Ovis aries: one gene and its partners. The protein of the gene in region 1 interacts with the protein of each later gene in a pairwise test. Links are inferred from orthologs where the notes say so. Each region holds a gene or a part of one and is shown on either strand. Other genes may lie near its edges.

Evidence for each region.
Region 2: the proteins of ESR1 (region 1) and MED25 interact in a two-hybrid assay, tested with the Homo sapiens proteins (2 studies listed by BioGRID). The link is inferred for Ovis aries from reciprocal best matches to the Homo sapiens genes ESR1 and MED25.
Region 3: the proteins of ESR1 (region 1) and TRAM1 interact in a two-hybrid assay, tested with the Homo sapiens proteins (2 studies listed by BioGRID). The link is inferred for Ovis aries from reciprocal best matches to the Homo sapiens genes ESR1 and TRAM1.
Region 4: the proteins of ESR1 (region 1) and PNRC2 interact in a two-hybrid assay, tested with the Homo sapiens proteins (2 studies listed by BioGRID and IntAct). The link is inferred for Ovis aries from reciprocal best matches to the Homo sapiens genes ESR1 and PNRC2.

What each region holds. Positions count from the first base shown.
Region 1 is NC_056061.1:76,487,667-76,491,786, reverse strand, and holds the start of ESR1 (estrogen receptor), read right to left. Parts: upstream 2,858-4,120; 5' UTR 2,759-2,857; intron 1-2,758.
Region 2 is NC_056067.1:55,910,244-55,914,518, forward strand, and holds the start of MED25 (mediator of RNA polymerase II transcription subunit 25), read left to right. Parts: upstream 1-1,451; 5' UTR 1,452-1,546; coding exon 1,547-1,680; intron 1,681-1,773; coding exon 1,774-1,819; intron 1,820-2,289; coding exon 2,290-2,414; intron 2,415-4,275. UniProt on the Homo sapiens protein: Component of the Mediator complex, a coactivator involved in the regulated transcription of nearly all RNA polymerase II-dependent genes.
Region 3 is NC_056062.1:47,245,922-47,249,483, forward strand, and holds part of TRAM1 (translocating chain-associated membrane protein 1), read right to left. Parts: intron 2,334-3,562; coding exon 2,263-2,333; intron 2,035-2,262; coding exon 1,930-2,034; intron 1,125-1,929; coding exon 981-1,124; intron 87-980; coding exon 1-86. UniProt on the Homo sapiens protein: Involved in the translocation of nascent protein chains into or through the endoplasmic reticulum (ER) membrane by facilitating the proper chain positioning at the SEC61 channel.
Region 4 is NC_056055.1:242,693,142-242,697,495, forward strand, and holds the start of PNRC2 (proline-rich nuclear receptor coactivator 2), read right to left. Parts: upstream 2,832-4,354; 5' UTR 2,662-2,831; intron 1,902-2,661; 5' UTR 1,696-1,901; intron 981-1,695; 5' UTR 963-980; coding exon 543-962; 3' UTR 1-542. UniProt on the Homo sapiens protein: Involved in nonsense-mediated mRNA decay (NMD) by acting as a bridge between the mRNA decapping complex and the NMD machinery. May act by targeting the NMD machinery to the P-body and recruiting the decapping machinery to aberrant mRNAs.

The DNA of each region.
Region 1 (4,120 bases):
TGCAAGGATCTTCCTAGGTGGCGCTAGTGGTAGAGAATCTGCCTGCCAATGCAGGAGATATTAAGAGATGCGGGTTCAATCCCTGAGCCAGGAAGATCCCTGAGGAAAGGCATGGCAACCTACTCAAATATTCTTGCCTGGAGAATCCCATGGACAGAGGAGCCTGGTGGGCCACAGTCCATAGAGTCTCATAGAGTTGGACACAACTGAAGCAACTTAGCATGCACACAGGGATAACGCAAGCCTCGGCATCCTGACTCTGTCTCAGAGTGAGAAAGAAAAAAAATTTACACTCCTTAGAAAGAATCATAAACTCACTGATGTGCAAGGTTTTGTCAGGGTCCAGTGGAAATAAACCAGAGGGAGTCAACTGAATTGGTGCCTAGAAGGCAAGATCACCTTCCTCACCATCACCTTCATCAAAAGCCACCTGCTAAGACTTCCCTATAGCTCAAATGGTAAAGAATCTTCCTACAGTGCAGGAGACCAGGGTTCAGTCCCTGCATTGGGAAGATCCTCTGGAGAAGGGTATGGCAATCCACTCCAATATTCTTGCCTGGAGAATCCCATGGACAGAGGAGCCTGGCGGGCTACAGTCCATGGGGTCACAAAGTGTCGGATACGATTGAGCAACTAACACATACAAGTACCTTGCTCTAAAACTAGCAGTGGATTACACTCTGTGCAGGGAGCGCAACAGTGGGATTAAGGACAGACACAGCCATGATGGACATGAATGGGCAGGACCATTTCTCAACCGCTATGAGGGAAACTTAAGCTATGAATATTTTACAACCAATATCGATAATTTACTCAGAGCTGGGGGTCACTCTATTCTTGCCTACTAATCTTTGTACAACCTGCAACCATGAACAAGTTCTGTTCTCTGTTTTGGGCAAACTAAACCCTAGGCACCAGGCCCTGAGTCTTGGCGGTTGTACTGATCAACCGGACTAAATGAATATGGACAAATACTGAGAGAAGCCACAGAAAACCAGATGAGAATGTTTAGCAGAACTGCAGTGCAAATATTTACATCGTATAGAGGTTGAGAGTGGGTGTTAGCAGAAAGGAAGAGATTCGATAACTCTAAATCCTAAGCTGAATGAAAGATACAGAGTTAATTGAAATGAAAGATAACTGTTTGACTTCGTTCTTGCTGCAATTTTGAGAACATAAGCTTTAATCCCTTTCCTCAACTGTCATTGCCATAAAACAAAACAAATATCTCCAAGAGTCTAAGAAAAAATATCCAGCTAGGAAATAAGGCACTTACATTCATATTCAAAATTTTTGCTTTTTTTCCCTCCATGTTGTTGTCTCTAAGGATTATGTTATTTTTATTCCCAATTTATTTGAAACCTAATACCCTGTACAGTGTTATATCTAACCACTAGAATAGTATAGTCACGTGCATTAAATCCTAGTGGGCAATCTTCATAGGATGTTAACAAAATTGGAGCAAACATTTGCTTTGGAGAAATAGGAAAGGCTTATATAGAGTAGAAACAGGTTCTGAAGCCTACATCTCATAAGTATTCATCTAATTTCATTTCGTCTCTCGGGGTATTTTAAGATAAAATTCAAACACTGCAACCTCATATTCATAAATTCACTTTCAACATTAATATATACACCATATATACATCATAGAAGTGAGATAAACAAACATATATGTGTGTGTGTGTGTGTGTGTGTGTGTGTGTATAATATTCAAAACCAGGTGAGTTTCCCAGCAATCTTGTGCATGGAGTTACTTTGCAAGTCTGTTATATCTGGCCCAGAAAGCCAATAAAAAATCTGGCTTCTTTGAACAGAAATCAGTGCCATGATCCCAAGTCCTGATAAAGCTCAATCCTTACGTTAAGATTTTTTTTTTTTTTTTGATTATGTTGGCTACTATGGGCATGTCTGAGAGAGCGAAGACTGGTTACCCTCTTAGCACAGCACAGAACTTAGAACGTACTGCGCATTTCCTGAACCCTGTGGCATGCCTCTAACCAAAATGAAAGTACGCTGCCCTGTCTTTTGTGACTGCCACATCATTATTTAAGTAGCACTCTGCGGTGCGGGGAGACACTTATGTACACACCAACCCCCTGTAAAAAGTGTCCAGGAGCTTTCTTCCACAGGAGAGCAAACTGAGGCAGAAAGACCCAAGAGAACTTGCCCTGAAATCACAGGGCAATTTAAAGACAGGGTGGCTGACTTTTGGACTGCTAGATGGCGTAGCTTTTCAGAAAACTTGACTGCCTTCAGGAAACAAGTAATGGCTTATTCAGATTGCTCAGTTTCAACTCACAGAAGTTACGGCACCCAGAGATGATGAAAACAGGTAGTGTGTTCATGCTAGCCCGTGATCAGTCCAATTAATAATTCTTGAAATTCTGCCACATTTCAATAATCCAAAACCTCCTAGCTAGAGCTGGATCAAATAAATAGGCGTTATCTGGAGCAAGCAGACAGCCTGTCAGTGCAGTGCTAAGCAAAGGGTAGTCGGGTTGCCCTCTGACTCAGCTGAATATTATTTGAAAAGTGGATTTTTCACTGTACCAAGTTTAGACTTAACATTTCAACGTCATACTAATGCTTGCCAGCAACTTTGCAAAATATCCCTGGAGCATTAAGAGAAAAATGAACATCTTTTCACAGGAGAGGGAAGCTGTAAAGTTACATCACATTTGTAAATAGTAGCACATATAACAAAAAGAAAAAAGTATATATATACATATATGCTGAGAAGAAGAAATAGGAGTACCTGCTTGAGGAGGAGAATGTCACTGAAAGACTGTCTTCTTACGCTATAGAAGGGCAAGGGAAAGGAACATTAACCTTTCGAGTCCGTTAAGGAACTTCTGAGCATGGAGCCTTTATTTTCAGTTTTGGTGAAATCCGTTCTGAGGCAGTAGACAAGCGGCTGTTATGACCATGAAATTAGGAAATGCAGAAAACTCAAAACTAAAGAACTAGCACCACCATTTGACTAGGAGTGGAAAAGTCTTCTGTACAAAATAGAGGAGGGGGTGGCCTTTCTTTCTCCACACCAGGCCTGATTCTCACTGTCCTACCACTTGGGTCAAGACAGACATTTCACAAGGGTATAAGTCATCTGTTAATCTGCCTGAATATTTTTTCTTTTTTTATGAATACCAGCTCACTTTCTCTTCACTACTAATAAAGGTTAAAGTCTAGACAGGCATTTGGGGTTGGAAAAATAATAATCAAACATTCACTGGGCACATAAATTTTGTTACAGCTCAGAGCAGGAATAAGGATGCATGTTCAGTGAGCATTTTGGTAACTTTCTCATTCAACATTGGCTTGACAGCTTTGCACTGCTGGTCCCTGATCAGTTAGGTTCTTGACTTCAGTGTCCTGCTGAGGTTAACTTCTCTCTGCCTCTGAAGCCGTTCCTCTGCCATCTGATCGTCCCATGGCCCATCTGGCTTTTCGTCCAGCCATTTAAGAGTTTGAGGGATGTTTACTTTTTCATTTGCCCACGTAATATGTATTTTAAAGGATCTTTTAAAAGCACGTTAGCTTTTTCTACTCAAATCTGAAGGAGGCTGGTTTTCTGCAAGTGAGGATGGTGGAGGACAGGTAAGAGAGGTCTGTCTTGTTCCTAGGCCTTCTAGAATCCCCAAGTGCATGTTGACATCTGTAGGGCAACCCATGCATCTCAAAATCAGCTTAGGAAAGAAAATCAAAATCCTCATAGCCCATGCTTGAAAACATTTTGAAAATAAAGGCTCTTAATGGTCATCCTCATGTGGTTCAGTGGTAAAGAATCTGCCTGCCAATGCAGGAGTTTGATCCCTGGATCAGGAAGATCCCCTGGAGAGGGATATGGAAACCCATTCCAGTATTCTTACCTGGTAAATCCCATGGACAGAGGAGTCTGGTGGGCTACTATCCATGGGGTCACAAAAAAATCAGACATGACTGAATACACACACATGCACACACAGGATTGCCTTCCATCTTCTCTACACTTGCGAGTTAGCCTGTAAAGTAATTTGAATATGCAAATTGTCTGAGATTAATTTCCACATAGAGCAGGACAGTTCAGTTCAGTTCAGTCGCTCAGTCATGTCCGATTCTTTGCGACCCCATGGACTGC
Region 2 (4,275 bases), on another chromosome or scaffold:
TTAGATTTAAAGGAATTTTAAGATGTCTAAACACAGGTTCAGTCATTGTTGGATCTTGATGCAAATAAAACAATTGTAAAAAGACATTTTGTGAGAACTGGGAAAATTTGATTATGGATTTAAGTGTTCGACAATACCAAGAAGTAAGAATTTTGTTAGAGATGTTAATGGCATAGTGGTTACCTGCAACTTTGGGGAGATGCCTATCCAGCAGGTAGAGGTAAAATGATACGATGTTGGGATTTGCTTTACAAGCGTTCAGCAAAGAAAATAAAAGGATCAATAAAGTACATGAGACAAAACAGTGATACTGCTGAGTGCAAAGCAATGCACCCTTTTACCTTGAAATATATTGACAAACTGCATTGGAGCAAGCTGTTTTGGTTTTCATCTCCACTAGATCACGTCTGAGCCTGCTCATTTCACCCAAACCTTCCCACCGTCATGGACTTATTTTTCCAGCATTAATTAACATGACAAAGATAAACTGACTTATCATTGGACCCTGTGTTAGCACTTACTAACTTGTGCATATGAGCGACTTTCAGTATGTTTTTGCGTACAGGAAAAACCTGCTTAGTTTCCTCCCCAATTAAAAAAAAAAAGTATTTCTGTTTTCCTAAGTTTGTATTGATCAGTAATACGTATTTGGGTAGTAAATTTCTGTCAACACATGTTACAGTGACTTCCGCAGTTTACCGTATCGTTTTCAGCTTGGTTTATGAAGTCTTCTGCGGACAAACAGCTCAATATTTTCCGTGCTCTGGCTTTGCTGTAATGATAAGAAACTCTTCCCCAGTCTTCAGGATTATACAGTGTTATGGTTTCATTTGTTATATTTACATTTTTAATCCACCTGGAATGTATTCATGTTCTAGGCCAGTTTCTGGCTCTTCTCCCAGAAAACAACTATCAGGTGTTGCTTAGCAACCTCCACTCGGGTTAGAGTTCGGCTTCTTTTAGTGGGGAAAAAACAGCTGCACTCCTTTCAGAGTTGATTGCCACCTTAAAGCGTTGCCTAGTAACCCCGTTTTAGACGTTGTGATTGGACCCTTCACACGACCCACCCACCCCCATCCCCCAAGAACCAGTAAGAACTTAACTAGAAACCTAATCTGTCTTTTTAGGAAAACAAGGGCAGCGTATGCGTTGCATAGCAACCAGGTCTCCCGGCCCTTCCATTGAAACCGGTGTCGGAAAGGTCGCCCCCCCCTCAAAAATGGCGTCTGACGCGCCGCTTTCAGTATATTTCGCCCTCGAAAGTTCTGCAAATAATTCAAGCTTCCACCTCTGGTCCCCGAAGGAGTTCTCTAGGTCCTTTTTGAGTCTTGCACACACTGGGAGCGAAGGAGGATGGAGATAAACCCACCCGCCCCGGGCGCCCCGCACAAACATGGCCGCCAGCGCGCCGCCAGCGCCGAGAGGCCGTCCCGCGCGGGGGCGCGCGCGGCGCAGGCGCACTTCCGCTCAGCCCGCGGTGTCTGAGGCGGCGGCGGCAGCGGCGGTGGCGGCGGTGGCGGCGACGGCGGCATCTGCGGCGCGGGGCATGGTCCCCGGGTCGGAGGGCCCGGCCCGCGCCGGGGGCCTCGTGGCTGACGTGGTGTTTGTAATTGAGGGCACGGCCAATCTGGGGCCCTACTTCGAGGGGCTCCGCAAGCACTACCTGCTCCCGGCCATAGAGTGAGTGCCGTTTCCGCGGCCCCAACCCCGCCCTCCGAGTTTAGTTTTCCACACTCTCTCCTCACCCCGACCTTTCACTTCCGACCCTCACAGGTATTTTAATGGCGGCCCTCCTGCCGAGACGGACTTCGGCGGAGACGTGAGTCTTGGAACTCTCGAGTTTGAGGGAAGATGGGAGTCCGGACTGGGTCTGCGGGAGGAGGGGGCGGTACCTGAACCCTGGGCCCGAGGTGGGAGGGCTCGGGTCCGGACTCCGGGGTCGGAGGCGGGAGGGGCTGGGGTTTGGACACCTGGGTCCGAGGGGCTGGGGTCGGGATTTGCGGGTCCGAGCGGGGAGGAGCTGGGGTCTGGACTCTGGTTTCCAGGAGAATGGGGCTCGGGTTCTGGGGCTGAGGGAGGAGGGACTGGGGTCCGGACTAATGGGTCCGAGAGGGGAGGAGGCTCAGGTCTTGGGTCCGAGGCGGGAAGGGCTCGGGTCCTGGGTCTGAGGTGGGAGTACCGGGGTCCGGACCCCCGGGTCCGAGGGAGGAGGGGCTGGGAGCTCCGATTCCCCTGAGGGAAAAAGGAGCTGGGTCCCAGATGAAAAGTTCTCCTGTCCTCCCCTCCCAGTATGGGGGCACCCAGTACAGCCTCGTGGTGTTCAACACGGTGGACTGCGCTCCAGAGTCCTACGTACAATGTCACGCTCCCACCAGCAGCGCCTATGAGTTTGTCACCTGGCTCGATGGCATTAAGTGAGCTCTTTTCTCGGCTTCCGGAAGGGTTGGGGGAACCTGGGAGGGACGGCAGAGGAATGGTGCTGCCGGATCCAGCCCCTCACATTGGTTGCTAAAAAGGGCTGCGATGGGGGTTGTGGTTTTGTCCCTAGGTCACTTCAGTGGTCGGTTCTGTATGCTCAGCTGGTGTTGCTGTCTGGCTTGGAAGTAGAAAGAATTTCCTGGTCAAGGAGGCCTGGGGAAGTCCAGCACCCGTCCTACTCCTCATATATTATTCTCCTTTCTGTCTGTTGCTTCTCTTGTCTACTCTAGCCCTTCTTTTTCCTACTAGGGGCACTGAAGCTTGAGCGCAAGAGGGGTGGGGCTAAGCCTCTGTGCTTTGGAGTCAATGTTGATAGTTCACACTGCAGGTGCAGACAGCCTGGGGCCACTTTTCAGCTCTACCACAACAGGACTGCCAGACCCACGAGTCCCTGTCCTCTGTGTCTAATAGAACTCATCTCTAAAAGGGGAACGGTAATAGTACTTATAGTCATCCTGTTACTTATCCAGTGTTGGGAAAACAGATTAAAGCTTAGTGACTTGGAAATTCTCTGATGGTCCAGCAGTTGGGACTCTGTGCTTCCACTGCAAGGGACATGGGTCTGATCCTTGGTGGGGAAACTAAGATCCCACATGCTGAGGGGCACAGCCAAAAAAAAAAAAAAAAATTAATTTAGTGGCTTGTTTCCTTAAGTAAGGAATTCAGGGGTGGCTTTGATGGATGGTTCTCACTCACGGTCTCTTGTGGGATTTCAGTCAGATGAGCTGGGACCGCAGTCATCCAACTGTTGGATCGGGACCAGAGGATCCATTTCCAAGGTGGCTAACCCTGTGGCTGTTGGCCAGAGGCCAACTTGCTAGCTGTTCCTTGCTAGCTGTTATTCCTAAGATATCTCTCCATGGGGCTGCTTGAGTGTCCTCCCAACATGGCAGTTGGCCTTCCTCAGCCTGAGCAATCCAACAGAAAGAGCAGAAGGAGACTACAAAGATTTTTATAATCAAATCTTAGAAGTCACACCATCATTTGTGTCACATTCTGTTTAGTATACAAGTCAGTTCTGTTCAGTGTTGGAGGGGGCATGAATACCAGGAGATGGTGCTCAGTGGAGATCTAGTTCCGGTGACACTATAGGGGACTTTGGGAATCAAACGAGTTGATGACTGTTGAGAACAGTGCCTGACACGATTAAGCGCTCCCTCAGCTTTTGCTGTTCTTTTGTGTTTTGGTTTCTTGGTCTGCAGAGGGATAACGGTAGTCCATATCAGCACTCAGAGAAGGGTCACAGAAGCTAATCTTCATACTGTGTTCAGCTCAGGGTCTGGTCAGAGTCCATTAAACAACCGGATTCGTGGGCTGCTGTTATCTGCAGCAAATGTTTGTTGAACACTTGGTTTGTTTCAGGCTTCACGTGCTAGACCAGGCACTGCACATTCACTTTCCCCCCTTATGGTTGTTAGAATTCATGGTCAGGGCAGAGCAGGGTTTCTCAACCTCAGCACTGTTGACCCTTTGGGCCAGATGATTATTGTATGTGTGTTGTGGAGGGGTGGGGGGCATTCCTGTGTGTTGTAAGGAGTTCAGTAGCATCCTTGGCTCCTTCCCCCCCAATGCCAGTGGTCTCCTCCCTCCCCAGTGTGATAAACAATAAAAACAAAGATGTCTCCAGACATTGTCAGATGTCCCTTTGGGGACAGAATCCGCCCCAGTCGAGAACCTCTGGAACAGATTGTGGTGAGACTTGAATAATGTGGAATGGGGGCTCCTTGAGGTTCAAGTCCAAGTCTGATGTCCCTCAAGTTTCTAGCACCCAGCACAGGGCCTGGCATGAAAGAGCCC
Region 3 (3,562 bases), on another chromosome or scaffold:
GTTCTCTCCACCTTCGAAGCTGAAAATTAATGAACTTCCACATCATGAACGCTTGGGTAATGCAAATGGACGCCAGAACAGCAATTCTGAGAATACAAAGAAATAAACAGAAAATTAATGTGTACCCAAGCAATGCCATTGAATAAAGTAGTCTCTCTTGCTTTGACAGTATTAACTTAGCACTAAATTCCCACTATATTGACAAGGATTATATTAATGAATAATTACCCCACTAATAACCCCAGGTGGCTTAGTGGTAAAGAATCCACCTGCCAATGAAGGAGATACAAGAGATCCAGGTTCGATCCCTGGGTTGGGAAGATCCCTTGGAGGAGGGCATGGCAACTCACTTCAGTATTCTTGCCTGGAGAATGCCATGGACAGAGGAGCCTGGCTAGCTATAGTCTACAGGGTCACAAAGAGTTGGACATGACTAAAGTGACTGAGCACAGTAATTAGCCCCTGAAGTTAAATAAATGCTTTTGTAATTTTTTTTCAAACTTTTTATTGGGGTATAGCCAATTAAAATGTGGTAGTTTCAGGTGAACAGAAAAGGGACACAGTCATACATATACATGTATCCATTCTCCCTCAAATCCTTCTCCCAAGCCAGGCTGGCACAGAACATTAAGCAGAGTTCCCTGTGCTATACAGTAGGCCCTTGTTGGTTATCCATTTAAAATACAGCAGAGTGTACAATGCCCATCCCCAACTCCCTAATTATCCCCTCCCCATGGTAACCATAAGTTCCTTTTCTAAGTCTGTGAGTCTCTATTTTGTAAGTTTATTTGTATCTAAATGCTTTAGTATTGATACTTTAATTTATACATGAAATTACAATAGGTATGAAATCAAATCAAATGAGTATTTTCCCCTACCTCTCATAATTATACCTTTATATTTTAGACAATTCATATTTTAAATTGATAATACATACTACATTGTAGGGCAAGGTAAGAAAAATGTTAAATCAACCCTACCTAACAGCTAACACATTGAAGTTTCCAGTACTGAAATCCAGCTTCTGGTTCTCTGCTCTTGCCAGGCCAAAGCCAACAGTGAGTACCGAGAGAATTAAAGTCAGAAGTCTTCCCAAAACAAACAGAACTGCCCACAGAGAAAATCTGTGAAAAAAATGTCAAAGTCAGATTCACAAAATTGCAAAGATAAGATTCGAGTAGAAATCAGATTCCTGTTAGGTAAATGTGTATTAAAACAGCATTTCTTACAGTTCTGCAAAAAGGATTCTGAAATAAAATGCTAGGGAAATGCTTCATATTATATCACATTCTTGGAGATTGTATAACATATGAGCATATTTCAGGTTCTTGAAGTTCAGTTAAAGAAATATTTGATTTTTTTCCCATTTAGCTGATTTTCTGTGTATGCGTTTGACAACTATTAATGATTCTCACAACTACTGGTATATAGAACAATTCTGGAAAAGGCTGAATAAAAACAAAGGCCATGTATTCAATTCTCATGAGAGGCCTCGCTTCACTTTTTCTCCCTGCAAGGCTCTTTACAATACATATTACTTCAATGCTATCCAAGTTTAATTTTCCCATCAAAATATTTTTGTATCTTTAAGGTTCTATAATCTACTATTTCAATTTCTTCTGAAAGCTCACTTTTCCTCATTATTCCTTCTCCAAAAGAAGAATGTGCACTAAACAAGATAGGAAAAGTTGTGTGAGAAAAGCAAACCCCCAACCTTCAAAACTGCAAGTTCCAATATACTATCTCTCAAGCTAAGAAAGACTATTTTAGAGTACAAAATACCAACTTCAATTGTTAAAAAGTGTCATTTTATTTAAAGTAGCTTCTAAAGCAACATTATTGCCCATAGCATGGACCTTGGCAATAGCATGGTCCTTTGCAACACAGGCACTGACTTTACACAAGAAACAGAATGGTTGAAAGACTCACCCTTTCTGATACTTTTCATCACTAAAGTAAAATAGGCGGGAAATGTGGAAAAGAAACTCAACAAAATAGTGTAGCACCAAAAGCACAAGTCCTAGATGATTCAAGCTGTTAAAAGAACACATTTAAAATGAAAAGATTAATTACGAATTAAGACAGAGTACCCACTCCAGTGTTCTTGCCTGGAGAATCCCAGGGACGGGGGAGCCTGGTGGGCTGCCATCTATGGGGTCGCACAGAGTCGGACACGACTGAAGTGACTTAGCAGCAGCAGCAGCAGCAGCAGCATATTATCTGCCCAGTCCACAAGCACACCCAAGAAAAATCCCAACTCACTTTAAAAGATAAGCTCCAGCAATGTGAAAGAGGTAAAGGCCGATGTAGACGAGCTGACGAGGAATATCTTCCTGTAAACAGAAAATTGCACAACAGGTTAAAACTGGGGGAAGTAGTTGTTTGGAGAAGTAGTGTGAAAATGTACTGTCACAGAAGACCTGAAGGGCACTCTGCCCGGCACCCACTCCAACTGGCCAGTCCTTTACCCTCTCTTGGCTTCATCTACTCATCTGGAAATGTGAATAACACCTGGGTTTCCTTGAATCAGATGAATTCCAAATCCCTTTTAGTACTGAGCGGTTCTTTTTATAATAAATATTAGATGACACAATCTTAATAACCATTATGTCCTTCTAATATTAAAACTACTATGTTTATACCAGCAGAGATTCTTTTGTTTACCCAAATAGTATTTATGTTTTTTAGTCCCTTTCATTTCACTGTCAGTCAAGTCATTAACACCAAAGGTTAAAATTTATCTTCTCACTTAGGATACCACCTACTTGTATATTCTTTCTCCTCTTAATAACCCTGTAAGTCAGGTATTCAGACTTCACTTTTGCTTTCCCCTCACCACCAGCCCCCCATAGTTCTTAGTGACTTGGTTATCTTAGAAATAGTGGTTTTCAAAGATGTTTTAAGTCAAGTGACTCATAAAATTAATTTGGGGGTCACCCTAACATCTTTTGAAATATGAAATATAATGTTTAAAAAGGCTAGAGTGTACAGCATATTATATTGTTTCATGAAAGCTTTATTCCAGATTTTACACACACGGAGAAGGCAACGGCACCCCACTCCAGTACTCTTGCCTGGAAAGTCCCATGGATGGAGGAGCCTGGTGGGCTACAGTCCATGGGGTCGCTAAGAGTCGGACACGACTGAGAGACTTCACTTTCACTTTTCACTTTCATGCATTGCAGAAGGAAATGGCAACCCACTCCAGTGTTCTTGCCTTGAGAATCCCAGGCACGGGGGGAGCCTGGTGGGCTGTCGTCTATGGGGTGGCACAGAGTCGGACACGACTGAAGTAGCAGCAGCAGCAGTACACACACACACAGAATTATAATGTAAACTCTATAGTTTCTCACCTTAGGTTACAGTCAAAAATGTTTGCAAAAAATGAACAGCAGGCCCTATAAACACTCGTTAATTTAGGAAATGCCTGTACCACTCATTCCTACTCTGTTTTTTGGCGATTTACCACATATATGGTTCTACTAGCCTGGCTAGTACTATTCATGTACTGCAGCTCTAATTAAAATGATTACAATATGGTTGATATCAGCAAACTGAGCAC
Region 4 (4,354 bases), on another chromosome or scaffold:
CATTAAAATACTATTCTCTTAAAAAAATTTTTTTTCACATTTTCTTTAGGCAGTGCATCAGGTTGTCATACTACTGGTTTAGGTGTACTGATTCAGGTGTCTCTAGGACAATAACGTCTCAAAGATTCAAATAGTTTTCAACCCCTGTATGTCTTTAACTGGATGATTATAATCAGATTTACCATATCTTAATAAGTCAATCTGCTGACCCATGAAATGATAATCTCCAGTATTTTCCCCCAACAAGCAATATAAAAAGTTGATTCCTTTACCATTCCCCAAATCTAAACTTGAATGGTTTCACTTATATGGTTACTCAATTGAGAATACTAGTGAAGAGATCAAATACAATTATCCATAATTCAGTTATTTTAAACTGTACTGATTCCTACCATCACAGTGCACATAAAACAAGATGAAGTCTAATTATATTTTCTATGTTAATCAGTTTTACAGATTAATTCCCTAGTGAATTTGGTCTGAAACAATTGCCAGTTATCCTTAAATATGACTAAGCTTAAATGTTAGTACTTTATCTCATTTTATACCTGTACTTTAAGTAAGGTTTTAAGTTGAAATGTCATTATTTCTTTATCAGAAGGATTAAAGGAGACAGGAACCCAGTGGCTTGGTGGTTTAGGAAGAACACTTGGTGATGGTGGCTCACTAAACTTGGCCCCGGCATAGTTCTGATTAGTTTGAGACTTAAAAAGTAAGGTGGGACTTGATAAGCTAGAGTTCCAGTTTTGATTGTTTGGAAAATTTTTGTTCTTCCCCCCATTTTGCATGGCCTGCCATGCAGCTGATGACGAATTATAAGTATGTCCTCTTTCCTTTTTCTTGTGAACAATCTTCATCTGGGAATTCTGATCCTTGGTCTTCTGTCTACTAAGCTGTTGTTGGTTCTTACTAACATTTCTAGTTTGAGGGGCTGGAATGTTATACCTCTCTCCACCACCCATCTTCAGCTTCTTTGTCACCTGTGAGTGGAAACAAAATACTGAGTGAAATTCCAGTACAAAACTTCAGTGGCCCCAATTTGCAACTCCAAATATCTCGAAGAAGACTCACGTATGTGCTATTCAGCTGCTTTAGCTTTACTATACGTTCACACTTGTACAGCCTTTATTACCTTCCTAAGAAAAAAATGAGTCTACCAACAAATCTAAATAATACTGCATTTAAAAACAATTTGTTTAGGATGTGCCCGTGTGCATGCTCAGTCATATCCGACCTTTTCCAATCCCATGGGAAAAGCCTGCCAGGCTTGTCGGTCCATGGAATTCTCCAGCAAAGAACACTGGAGTGGGTTTCCATTCCCTCCACCAGGCGATCTTCCTGACCCAGGGATCTAACCCGGGCCTCCTGCATTGGCGGGTGGATTCTTTATCATGGAGTCCCCTGGGAAGCTCTAGTTTAGAATGAGTGAGTGAAGTCGCTCAGTCGTGTCTGACTCTTTGTGACCCCATGGACTGTAGCCTAACCAGGTTGCTCCGTCCATGGGATTTTCCAGGCTAGAATACTGGAATGGGTTGCCATTTCCTTCTCCAGGAGACCTTCCCGACCTAGGGATTGAACCCAGGTCTCCAGCATTGTAGGCAGACGCTTTACCGTCTGAGCCACCAGGGAAGATCCTGGTTTAGAATGAGTCCATCATAAAATGTCTGCCCCATTACAACCGTAAGTTTTTAATACCTTTCAGTCTGCTTTTCCGATTGCAGGATTTCCACTACCTGTCCTCTTCCTTGCTGCCACGCCCAGGATAATAGATGTTGCTTTCTGACAGATCCTTTCCTTTGTCTCAATACAGAAGTTTTCATGGGCCGATCTGCTGAGTTCAGCCTAGGAGCTGAGGCCAACATCTGAGTCTCCTCAGCACACAAGTTTGAGAGAAGTCTTAGCTACAAAAGCAACGATTTCTTCATTATTTCAATTAAAAAAACAGAGAAAGTGATCGTTTATATTTACTCCAGAAAAAATTTAAAGAATGGCTACTTAACAAAAAGGCAGAAAATAATGTCTCACATGGATTTAGTGACCAAAATGTTGTAAAACCATGGAAACGTTAGCCTCTACAGTCATGCTAAGAAATGTGCTAAGAAATTTGTTTCCTAAAGACCGTGTTTTAAAGTCCCACCAGAATTTTACAATCTTTAGACACATCACGTATCTGTTTTAGCAGAGCCTCCTCTCCCAACATGTTTACGTCACGCAGCGCTTCCTTTGGTTATGAACTCTTGACTCCTCCCCGTTTTAAAATAAGTTTCACAAGCCATAACAAGCAGTTTCCCATCTTAAATACATAAAACAATCACTATTATAAACATTAAACATCTGCGATTCCACTTGATAGTCCAAGAAGCCAAGTTACCAAGCAAGAAGCTCTTATCGAAAGGGTGAGAGGCCCTTCCAGACTGTTTCAACGCCCTAAAGAAATTTAAGTTTCCAGACCCTGAGTCATTCCCAAAGCGAGCCCGGAAAGTTCGGGTCTTCCGCAACGAGGTTGGGCTTCCCAGGCGCTCCGCGTCCCTCGAGCCCGGCCCGGGAACCCGCTCCTCCGGGCCGCCCGCGCCCCCCCAGCCTCGGATCTCGCCTCCTTCCCCCAACAATAGGGAGCGCCGCCGCCAACATGGCCGCACCCGTCGCGCCGCCGCCACTCACCGACTTCAAGCCCGGGACTGCGGCGGCGGCGGCTTCTGCTCGGCTTCGAAGCCCCCCTCCCCTTCCAGGGAGAGACGAGGCACGGAACGGGCGAAGCCCACGAGCACCGACGAGCGAGCGGCTGGCCACCTCAACGTCTCAACCGACCTCCTCCTCCTGTCTCTACCGACAAAATGGAGGCGGCGGCGAGCGCTGAAGCGGGGCCGGGAGGCGCTGCGGCCAATCAAAACACGCTTTCGCGCGACCCGGCCAATGATACGCGGGCCACCGCCTGTTGCTGGGGCCCGACGGGGCCGAGGGAGGGGAGTTGGCTGTGGCCGAAGGTTTGAAATCCTCCCCGAGAGGAGCATGTCGGGAATAACCGCCGCGGTCCCGGTGGCCGGCCCTCTGCGGGCGCCCGGGTGACACTGTCCTCTCCCGGGAGGCGCCCGCCCGGCCAGGCTCGGTACCCAAGGACGCAGTCAGCGCCAACCCCTCACGGCGACTCCGAGCCGCGCGCGCGTCCGGCGCCGGGGAAGGGACGTGAGCGGCTCCCCCGGATCGCGGCTTACACCGGGGCTGCCCGGTTCGCGGGTCCCGCGGCCCTTGGAACCCGATGGTTCCCTGCCGTGGGGCGTCACCGAAGGGGGCTTTGAGTTCCCGAGTTAAGTTCACCTAGCCGTGTAACCAGTCTCTTACGATGCAAGATGCTCCACCAAGTTGCTTCCCGAGGCCGACCCTTGGCCACTTGGTCCTGACACTGTGTTCCCCTGTCAAGGAAATTGCTTTGCCCCTCCCCCAGCTTGTGGTTCCCTCCTGTCCTCCCTGCCCGCAGCCTCGAAATTCTTGAGAAGTGGTCTCCTCTGTGAAGACGTTTCCGACACTTGTGCGGATCGAGTTAATCAGTTCCTCTTTTGTCCTGAACTTGAGTCACACTGTAGTGTAGCTACTTGTCCACCCAGTCACTCGTTTGAGCCCAGAGCACAGGCTAAGTGCACATGCTAAGTGCCCGAGAAAAGTTTGAGAAAATGGAGCTCTCTCATTTCCCCCTTTCGGCTCCGTCTGTAAGTGAAAGGGGGTTGATTGTGCCACCAAGGCGCCAGGAAGAGAAGAAGGGCAGCTTCTTTGGAGTAAATGGATAAGCAACCCAAAGCTGGCGTTGTAAAGGAGAACACCAGTTTCTACAAACATATTAACATTTTTGTTACAAGATTTACGTGTACTTTGTGTAAGTCCCACATAATTCGTTTTTTAATCTTGAGTTTTTCTGCTACCATCATCCCCCACTCCTATGTTGTTCTACCCATGGACCTTAAGTTTCTTAAGAAAACCATTTTAAAAGAGTTTGTTAATCAAATTAATTTGGTGAAATGTGTAGAGTAGAAGAGATATTTCTGAGCGTGGGACTTTCAGCTGCTAAGCATTATAGTCAAATAAGATGTATATAATAAGGAACTGCTACCTCACTGAAAGTGTAATCTGTTACCTAAAAACTTAAGAAACTGACTTAGACATGCGGCTAGATTACAGCTAAGCAGTATTTTAAAAAGACCATTGCAATATTTTTTTTAATATAGTGGTTTGGGCTTCCCTGGGGGTTCAGTTTGTAAAGAATCTGCCTGCAATGCGGAAGACCTGGATTCAATCCCTGGGTTGGGAAGGACTGCTGGAGAAGGAATAGGCTACCCACTCCAGGATTCTGGCCTGGAGAAGT